2 linked regions of the Caenorhabditis elegans genome follow. The protein of the gene in region 1 interacts with the protein of each later gene in a pairwise test. Each region holds a gene or a part of one and is shown in the gene's direction. Other genes may lie near its edges.

The links. Proteins that work in one complex are often made in the same cells at the same time.
Region 2: the proteins of kel-8 (region 1) and odr-8 interact in a two-hybrid assay, tested with the Caenorhabditis elegans proteins (one study listed by BioGRID).

Annotation. Positions count from the first base shown.
Region 1 is NC_003283.11:2,669,633-2,674,486, forward strand, and holds the start of kel-8 (BTB domain-containing protein), read left to right. Parts: upstream 1-1,831; coding exon 1,832-1,891; intron 1,892-3,353; exon of another isoform or gene 3,354-3,368; coding exon of another isoform or gene 3,369-3,415; intron 3,416-3,463; coding exon of another isoform or gene 3,464-3,944; intron 3,945-3,997; coding exon of another isoform or gene 3,998-4,160; intron 4,161-4,219; coding exon of another isoform or gene 4,220-4,341; exon of another isoform or gene 4,342-4,535; intron 4,536-4,854. Other genes in the region: W02G9.4 (CUB domain-containing protein), read left to right, coding at 195-348, 435-554; thum-1 (THUMP domain-containing protein), read left to right, coding at 3,369-3,415, 3,464-3,944, 3,998-4,160, 4,220-4,341. UniProt on the Caenorhabditis elegans protein: Substrate-specific adapter of a BCR (BTB-CUL3-RBX1) E3 ubiquitin ligase complex that regulates degradation of glutamate receptors in neurons. The BCR(kel-8) ubiquitin ligase complex mediates ubiquitination and subsequent degradation of rpy-1.
Region 2 is NC_003282.8:6,579,288-6,584,388, reverse strand, and holds odr-8 (Ufm1-specific protease), read left to right. Parts: upstream 1-1,684; 5' UTR 1,685-1,728; coding exon 1,729-1,842; intron 1,843-1,998; coding exon 1,999-2,173; intron 2,174-2,217; coding exon 2,218-2,399; intron 2,400-2,450; coding exon 2,451-2,645; intron 2,646-2,690; coding exon 2,691-2,787; intron 2,788-2,833; coding exon 2,834-2,991; intron 2,992-3,038; coding exon 3,039-3,138; intron 3,139-3,185; coding exon 3,186-3,335; intron 3,336-3,610; coding exon 3,611-3,792; intron 3,793-3,837; coding exon 3,838-3,934; intron 3,935-3,979; coding exon 3,980-4,148; intron 4,149-4,198; coding exon 4,199-4,349; 3' UTR 4,350-4,553; downstream 4,554-5,101. Other genes in the region: F38A5.2 (TraB domain-containing protein), read left to right, coding at 1-15, 60-197, 243-557, 606-715, 1,244-1,244; C43G2.3 (uncharacterized protein), read right to left, coding at 5,029-5,101. UniProt on the Caenorhabditis elegans protein: Thiol protease which recognizes and hydrolyzes the peptide bond at the C-terminal Gly of ufm-1, a ubiquitin-like modifier protein bound to a number of target proteins.

The DNA of each region.
Region 1 (4,854 bases):
TCAATTTTGCCTAAACTACAGAAATTCTACAGTACCCGACCATATCCCCCACTGACCCTAAACCAATATCCCTTCAAAAGACAAAAACTCAAGTGTTCCTAAACTACAGTAATCCTACAATACTCCTACAGTACCCCGACCATATCCCCCACTGATCTTAATCCAAGGATACTATAAAATAACCATTTTTTCAGTTATTCCGGAAAGAATATGCCAGCTCCAATAACATCGACGAGCAACACTTTGTACCTGTGCTTCTCCTCAGACTTGGTCACCAATTTCTCGGGATTCTCCGGTCTGTATACCTCATTTGTCTCGAACAACTTCAAGCGCGGAGTACTACCACAGGTGAGAAAAGATCTAGGCCGGCTTGGAAGCAGGCAGGCATTTTTGTGCCTAGGTACCTAGGGCTTCACTAAAAACTAATCTTTCAGTCCCTGACAACGGATTCAGTGGCGATTCGTCGTGACAAGAACATTCTCGACTGGCTCAAAAAGAAGGCCGAGGAGAAGAAGCTTATTGGAGCTGCTGCAGCACCGGTTATCTCTATCTAGTAGTCCCCCGAAATTCTCAATATGTAATGAATTATTATTTCTTCGCAATTATTTTTTGCCGCTTACTGTATGAAAGTGAAAGGAAAATTAGAAAATTAGTGATGGGGGGGGGGGGGGGGTGATAAGAGAAATCTGGGTTGAAGGGGGAGGGGTAGGGCGATAAAAAGGGAAATTTTAGGAGGAAGAGAAGCTGGTTTTTAAAAAATAAAATTTTTGTTCTATGCCCGGACGCGGGAAAAATTTCACATTGATCTACAGTAGATCATCATCACGGGCTTCTAGTAGCGGTTTTTCGCGCTCCATTGAAAATCGGTGAGCGGAAATTGCAGTTCGGCAAAGGAAGGTTTCAAATTCGGCAATTTGCCATTTTGCCGATTTGCCGGAAATTTTGAATTCCGGCAAATTTCACGATTAGCCGGAAATTTTCAACTCCGGCAATTTGCCAGTTTGCCGATTTGCCGGAAATTTTCAATTCCGGCAACTCCCCGATTTGCCGGAAATTGTCAATTCCGGCGAGTTCCCGATTTGCCGGAAATTTTCTATTCCGCCAGTTTGCCGATGTGCAGGAAATTTTCAATTATGGCAATTTGCCGATTTGCCGGAAATTTTAAATTCCGGCAAATTTGCCAGTTTGTCCTAAATTGTCAATTCCGGCGATTTCTTGATTTGCCGGACATTTTCATTTCCGGTAATGTGCCAATTTGCCGAAAATTTTAAATTCCGGCATTTTGCCGATTTGCCGAAAATTTTCAATTCCGGCAAAAATCGACCCCAGCCGTGGCCGAGTCAAAATGGCCTGAATATAATCAAATGTGCTCCAACGCACCAGCCGACTGTGACGGACATTATTCAGGGCTTGACCTACAGAAATCGTTTGACCTACTGGCGCCTCATTATAAACTCATATGACGTCACAAATTTCAATAATTTCCCGCGCTTTCTGGAGGTCAAAGTGCCCATCCTCAACAAAACATCCCGTTCAGGGTCCTATCCCCAAGTCTCCAGACCCTAAAGCCTACAATCATAAAGCTTGTCACTAAATAATTGCCATGTTTTTGTCTGCCAATCAACTGACTGTCCCCCTCCTGCTGTGGTATATTCAGAAGATACCAGAAGCTGTAACAAAAGACGCAGGACGTACAAGACAGGTTGAGAGAGACACTGTGGGGGCGCAGACACACACAAAAAAATCAGGGGGCGGGAAGTGAATCGAGAGAGGAAGAAGCTGGCATCTAGAATACCAGACTGACAGGCGACACACACCACGAAAAAAAAACATGTGGACCTTCAACAGATCTACCGCGGAGGCGCCAACTATGCCGTCAAGCTCTAATACGGTAGGTGGTAACTATTTTACTTTTTCTGGAATTTCATTTTGTAAGCTACCACGGATTTCTGGCTTCCCTCTCATAAATTGAAATGGAAGAGTTTGCCAAACTAGGCCATTTTGGCTCGGCCATAAGTGGGGTAGATTTACGGCGCGTTGCGTGTCGCGTCGCGGCTCGATTTTAGTTGTAAAACTAAGTCTATTTGTCCGTGTGGAGTACACGATTTTAACACGCGTTGTCCGCCGGGCGATTGTCAATGGAGCGCGAAAAATTCTCTGAGGAAAGACAGAACCCCGTGATTTTGGCCTAAAAATCATTAAAACAGGAAAATTGCCGAAATAACGGGGTTCTACCCTTCCTCATTGAATTTTTTGCGCTCCATTGATAATCGTCCGAAGGAAAACGCGTGGGTAAATCGTGTACTCCACACGGACAAATGCATTTAGTTTTACAACTAAAATCGAGCCGCGGCGCGACACTCAACTCGCCGTAAATCTACCCCAGTAATGGCCGAGCCAAAATGGCCTAGTTTGGCAAACTCTTCCATTTCAATTTATGAGGGTAATCAGAAATTCGTCATTTTGGCCTAAAAACACCAATTTGGCCTAAAAACATTAAAACCACGGGAAATTTGAAACAGGAAAAAAATGGCAAAAAATTCTTGGAAACCGGCGAAATCGGCATAACTAATCCAAAACGTTCGAATGTACTATTTTGCCGCCAAACACCTAGCGGGTCATGGTGCGGGGGCCGAGAATTTCCTATTGGCAGTGGAGCGCGTTTCCACGTGGATTTTTCTGCGTACCCATAATAGCCGCGTCACACAGTTAGTCACCCAATTTACTACCTAATTGCATGGCCTTTGTGTCGGAACTCGTTTTTTTCGTAATGTCGCAACACATGGTACATAGATAAAAATCTCGAGATAACCTATAGTTCAGTTCAAATGTGAAGCAAATTTACTGGTGAATCGGGAAAAAACTGGTAAATTGTTCGGGATATATACTTATTATACATCAAAAATTGCTCGAAAAATTGTGAATTTCAGCTTTTTTTTCAGGAAATATATATTTTCTAGAAGAAGAATACCGGAAAAAGGTGCGGGTCATTTTGCACGCCATCACGAAATTTTCGCAAATTCCAGCGTTTCCGTCAAAATAGTAAATGTATATTCAAAATTTTTTCATCTAATTATCAAGTGAGGCTGCTCTTTTCAAGTTTCGCTGTAAAGAACCGCCTCTTTTTCGTAGTTTGTTTCACATAAAGTGGTGGTGACTCTGCAATTAAAGGTGTGCAAACGCGCTCTGTGGTTACGTGCAAGAGAGAAGAGATTTAGAGAAGTTGGAGGGAATATTAATTGTTTTTTTTTGTTTTTAATTGTTTTTATGTGTTTTTTTCGCATTTTTCGTTGATTTTTCGTTAAAAAACTTCAAAAACAATAATTTTCATTCAAAAATTTCAATTTTTCCAGAAAAAATCACTGAAAATGGCAGATAACGACAGAAAACGAAAGCATAACCGATGGAATCAAAAGTGAGAGCTAAAATTTGAGAAAAAAAAACTATTCTAAGACAATTTCAGAGTTAAACAAAAATCTGTGGAAGCCGGAGTGACCGGACTATTCTTTTCCTGCGAAGGCCACGAAAAGCAGGCCCTACAAGAAGCCTACAGTATTATTGACGAGCTTCTCGAAGACCCGGCGAATGGAATCTCTCTTAAAGCACCAGAAGCTGCTCCACAAGGCTCAGAAGCACCCGGAAATCCAGCAGAAGCTGAAGATTCCGATGAAGACATTGCCGATGCGTTGAAAAAGGCTTGTGATGATCAGAGGCAGCCGAAGCCGGGAAATTTCGTGAAAAAAGAGAGAAGATGCATTCAAAGACCGACGGGAGTGAAGAATTGCATTTTTGTGAGCGTGAAAAACGCGAATATTCAACTTTTAGCCGAAAAAATGGTCGAGCTGACGCAAAAAGCTCCGCGTTGCAGGTTTTTGCAACGAGTTTACCCGGTGGAGCATACTTTAGCTGTGGATCTTTCAAAAATGAATGAAGTTTTGATGAAGGTGCTTTTATTTAATTAAATTAATTAATAAAATAAAAAAAAGTAATTTTTCAGGTAATCTCCGACACATTGAAGGCAGACGGCACTGGCAAACTTCCCACGTATTCCGTGGAATTTAAAGCGAGAAATAACGATTCTGTGGCGAAGAATTCCGTGCTCCAAATGGTCGATGACGCCGTTTGTGCGCTGGCTCCGACTGCGAGAGTTAGCCTAAATCGTTAGTGTCTCTAAAAATCTGAAAAAATTTCAAAAAAATCAAAAAATCAATGATTCCAGACGCCGACGTCACATTCTTCGTTCAAGTATCTCGTACGACAATTATGGTTGGCGTGTGCCGGCAATTTTACGACCGCCGAAAGTATAGTCTTCGTGCGACGCCGGCAGCGGCAGCGACATAAGTCTCTTCTTCGACCTTTTTCCCCCTTTCACCCAGCGCCTCATTGGCTCAGTGGCAGAGCGTCTGTCTAGTAAACAGAAGGTCGCTGGTTCGATTCCAGCATGAGGCACCGAATTTTTTTTGTTTTTTTCATTTGTTCTGTTAAAATACTTTGGCTATTTATTTGTTAAAATACATGAAATTTGAGATTCGATTGTTAATTATTTTTTAAATGCATGGTATCTATAACTGTGACGTGTCAAAAACTCAGGTCGACCCTTGCTCGCGCGCGTCTCATGCACAACCGAGCAAGAAAAAAAACGTGCAACCAACCCGAAAATCTAGCTCACCCGTTCTGCGCACTCCCCAAAATCAACACTATTTCGCTCTCTCGCAGCTCTTCCAAATTGTCAAACAAACCGAGTAGTTACACGCACCCCCCGCCGAAACTCGGGAGCATTCAATCTGGCCTGGTTTTCCAGTATGCTGAAATTTTTTGGACTATTGTAAATTGTTTGTGAAAAAGGTCTCGCCA
Region 2 (5,101 bases), on another chromosome or scaffold:
GCAGTTGCAACTGAGGTTTGAGTATTTAAAAAGTTTTATTTACAAAGTAACTATTTCAGAATTGTCGTGTAGTTCTCGGTGATCGTCCTATTCAAGTTACACTTCAACGTGCACTGGCTTCTCTCTCCATCTGGCAAAAAATTCGCTTCTTCTTCCACGTTGCATTTTCACATCGTGAGAAGATAACTGCAGAAGAGGTATTTAATTATTCAACCTTTTCCAAAAATATTCCAAAATTATAGGTGGAACGATGCAAGCAACGTGACCTTCTGGAGCAACTTCTCGCCGAGATGGCTGATGATTTCCCACAACTATCCCAAATCTTTGTGGAAGAGCGTGATGCCTACATGACGCATGCTTTGCATATGCTCGTACACCGGAACTCAGTCGAAAAACGTGCACAATGGCTTCGTGGAACAACTGGGCAACAATTTCAACCGTTGACAGTTGTTGCTGTCGTTGGAATCGGACATACTCCAGGAATTGTTAACAAATGGAATACAAATATTGATTTTGATCCACTTATGAACATCCCACCACCAAGCCTCGGAACAAAGGTAAATTAATCTGAAGTTATTTTAATTCTTTCATTTCTTTATTTCCAGGTTTTCTCCACTGGCGTCCGTATTGTTGTCTGGGGATCTTTGGGATATTTGGCTTATCGTGGAGGACGTGCTATCTTCAATCGTGTTAGCACATTCATAGAGTCTCGTTGGTAGGTTGGAAATTTTTGTTTAAAATTTAGTTTTGGGAATGTTGAAATTAAACGATGAAATTAAACGTGAATTTTGCAAAATCAAGGTCGCACAGAGAGAGGCAGCGCGTAGTTTTGCAAGCCTGTGGCATTGTTTTCCACCGTTTTTTGGTGGTTTTTTTTCGATAAGTTCTCAATTTTACTGGTTTCACTATTTTTTCTAATGAAAATGTTACCTAATTCAATTCTCATACGATTATGAGGAAATTTCATGTTAGATTTGTTGTAAAAACGAAGTATTCTCACAATCTTATGGGAATTGAATTAGATACATAATATTTTTATTCAAAAAAAAAGAAGGAAAAACCGTACCACAGGGATGAGAAATTACGCGAATTACCAACTCCCCATTCAAAGAATGAAATAATAGCAAACCTAATCTCATTTTCGTGCTTCTCCCGTCTTCTCTCGTTATTAGCTTTTCTGGTATCACCTGCTCCGCACAAGTTACCCATGACAACCAACCCACTAACTCGTATATCTTTTCAGAACAACTCATTGATTGAAGCGGGCACAACAGCATAGCAGCCGTCTACATTCGATCTACAGGCGTTTTCATCGTTATTTTGTTCTTTCCTAAAATGTTTATGTCTAATTATTGGACTTTTAATCGCTTTTTCTTGTAATGTGATACGATTTCTAGGGTGTAGATAGGTTGAGAATTGAAACAAAATTTTTCTTCTCCCATTTTTTTCTAAACTATCCTTTTCTGTTAAATGCCCAAACAAATTGCAATTTATTTATTAGTCCCACCCGCTTCTTCCGTTTATCGATTGATTTATTCTCGTTTTCTTTGTAAAATACACAAATAATTTAAATTATTCATCTCTCTATTGCAAAATCCCCTTCTACAAGTCCCCATATTCAGCTCGCTGGTCGTATAAATGACACATTTCAATATTATTCTCTCGTGATTCGTGGTAATATCCATAAACTATTATTATCTTTTGAAAGGTGATTGGAAGAGAAGAAGAATGACGAATTCTCAAACTGTCTCACTAATTGGACCAACTCAGATGGCTCCACAATCAACACCTCCACCTCCTGTGAATGAATTGTGGTTTATTGATGCGCAGGCAATGTTTCAGGTAATTTATGTGGAAATGAGCTATGAAAGTTTTAAGAAGTGCTGAAATTATTCGATTTTCTATACTAGTTGAAAAACGGAAAAAAACGAAATAAAATCTGAAAACACTCCAAAATCAGTCTTGCGAGATAAAAGATTTCACACGAAATATTTTAAGAATTACGCCAACCTCCGCTCGTTCTCCAAATCCAATGCCAACGAAATTAATACGACAATTGGCGGATTCGTTTTCGGACGTAAAGCTCGGAAACAGGTTATCCATGTGCTATTCGCCTACGCTGAAGATCTGACTGAATCGAACAGACAATTCTTGGAGAGCTCTCTGTCTGCTGGTAATTAATGGAATAATATTATTAAAAACTGAGATTTAATTCAGATATTGAACTGGTTGGAAACTTGAATATTGATGGACAATCACAGATTCTTCCTGGCGGGCAGTTCACCCTTCAGCTGACATCTCGAATGCTTGAAAATCGAAGTATCAGCGAATTTTTGGATATGAATGTGATGTTCAACAATGAACATGTTCTTATGGAAGGAGCTAGTTGTGTCAGCAGAGTACGTTCCCATAAGATCTTTAAATTATTGAATAAAAACGGTCCGTTTCAGGTTGGATACGAGTGGTCACTTCGAGCAGGTCGTGAACAAGAAGATGTCAAATCTGCTGCCGAACGTCTTTCAATGGCTTCTTTTCGTTTCACATATCTAAACGCTGAACACGGGTTGGTGATCCGTGAGCAGAAGCCAGAAGCTGCTCAACAGAAGTATCTTGATAAATTCTCGAAAGGCGCTGTACCATATAAGGTTTGGAAATACTGTCTAAAATTAATATGATTGACGGAATTTCAGGATGTTATCGAATTCACTGCCATGCAATCTCTCACTAGGGATACATCTAATGATACGGAAGATCAAAAGCTGGTTCCAACAGTTAAGGTTACCAAGGGTAAAGAATTTTGTTATTTTATAAAGATATTAAATTCGTAATTTAGATAACAAACATTTCACTCGGCTCGTCACAATTGGTGAGGTAGTTTTCCCAGCGTTCTTTGGAGATTCTTCACTGGATTTGTACAAACGATCACGTGAGGCATTCAATAGAAGAGCTAACAATACAATGATGGTTACAGTCAATGGAATAAGAGCTGGGGTAAAAATTGAAATGTAATATTTTTTATATCGATTGATATCTTGCAGCGCGGAGTAACAACGACCACATCTGCAACTTATCTTCCACCTGGATGGGTTTCTCTACTTCATCTCCAACTTCCAACTAAATGGACGGACAATGAACAAAGTATTCATAGAAAGCGTTTCAACTTCTATAAAAATTCAATTTTCTAGGAAATTACCGTATTCGTCTTCACAAGTTGTTCAACTTGCCATCATCTAAGCCAGTTCTTCGATTGTCTCAAGCGTTGGCTCTCCACTCAGAGAGTGCTCGTTTGACCAACAAGAAGCTCATTCGAGAGCCACATTTGTCTATAACAAATTGTATGTTTAAAAATGGAGTACCGAAATTTGAGGCATTGCTTTGTTGGACCCAAAACTACAGAATTTCGTAATGAGACATCAAATTTTGCCAACTTGACAGACCCGGAAATTGCGGAAGTTTGAATCATCAAGTTGTCAAAATTCGAGATTTTAGCTGAAAAAAAAACCGCATTAACTTTTTCTTTTGAGAAATTTTCAGAACGTTTCATAACGAAATGCGGAAGTTTTTGGCAATTTTGGGTCTAAACAAGCAAAGACTCAGAATTAATTTTCAGATCAACCAGTTGGTGAAATAACCACTGTAAATGGGCCGTACAATTATCATCATTACATGCAAGATGGAATTGATGATAGTGGATGGGGATGTGCATATCGTAGTTTCCAAACTATCTGGAGTTGGTTCATTTTGAATGGATATACTGATAAACCTGTGCCAAGTCATCGGGAAATTCAGCAGGTTGGCTTAAGCAGATTTCAATTGAAGTTGTTTTATTTGTTGCAGGCGCTTGTTGATATTCAAGACAAGCAAGCGAAGTTTGTTGGTTCACGACAGTGGATTGGTAGTACTGAAATCAGTTTTGTGCTCAATGAGCTACTCAGTAAGTAGTTGTTGAGTAATTGTATTTAATAGTTAAACATTTCAGAGTTAGAATGCCGTTTCATCGCTACCAACTCGGGCGCAGAAGTTGTCGAAAGAGTTCGTGAACTTGCTCGACATTTTGAAACATCTGGAACTCCTGTTATGATCGGAGGAAATATGCTTGCACATACTATTCTTGGAGTCGATTTCAATGATACCACTGGAGAGACTAAGTGAGTTTTTTTTTTTCAAATTGGAAGTATAGCAACACAATAATTTCCAGATTCCTCGTTCTTGATCCTCATTACACTGGCTCCGAAGATATCAAAACAATCACTTCAAAAGGATGGTGTGCATGGAAACCAGCGAGCTTCTGGAGCAAAGATCATTTCTACAATATGGTCCTTCCTCAACCGCCTAGCGATGCTATTTGAGTGACTTTGTATTACCATGCCTATGAAAAACAATGCATTATATATCTAAATTATTGCCAACCTTCTACCCATTTACATTGTAATTCCTATATTTTTTTAAACCTGGATTAGTCCTTTCTCGTCTGTGATTAATTTATTTCCTCTATAGAGAAATGCTTTCTATAGCCCAACCAACGTTTTTTGGGAATAAAAAATTGGTCAAAAGTTGAGTACAAGTCAAGCATGGCGATCTAGAAACATCGAATTACCAATTGTTGGTTCTTCAAAAATTTCATTTTATTAACCATACGCAACTTTTGCGGGTTGTTGAGCTAAAAGAACTGTGCCCGGTTTTCCTTAAATGCAAATGGTACGCGCCTTTAACCGAGGACTGTAATTCCAAACTTTCGTTACTGCGGAATTTTTCATTCGATTAAAAAAACACTTTCTATTTATTAATAGTTAAATTTTATCAAATCGGAAGAAATGTTATATTATGAAAAATAAATGAAAATTCGGCAGCAAAAAAATTTTGAAATTACAGTACTTTTTCAACGCTCGAAAATTTGTCGTATCGAGACCATGTAACGTATTCTTGCGCAAAAATTGAAAGGTATTGTTTTGAACGAAAATTGTACACAATTCAATCCAACGAATTCATTTTTCAGTCATTTTATTCACAAAACATAAATCCATCAAATTAAATTGCTTCGCCCAATTGATCCGGTTCGAAATACATTCGTGCCCACTGGGTTAGTTGTCCTCCGAGTGGT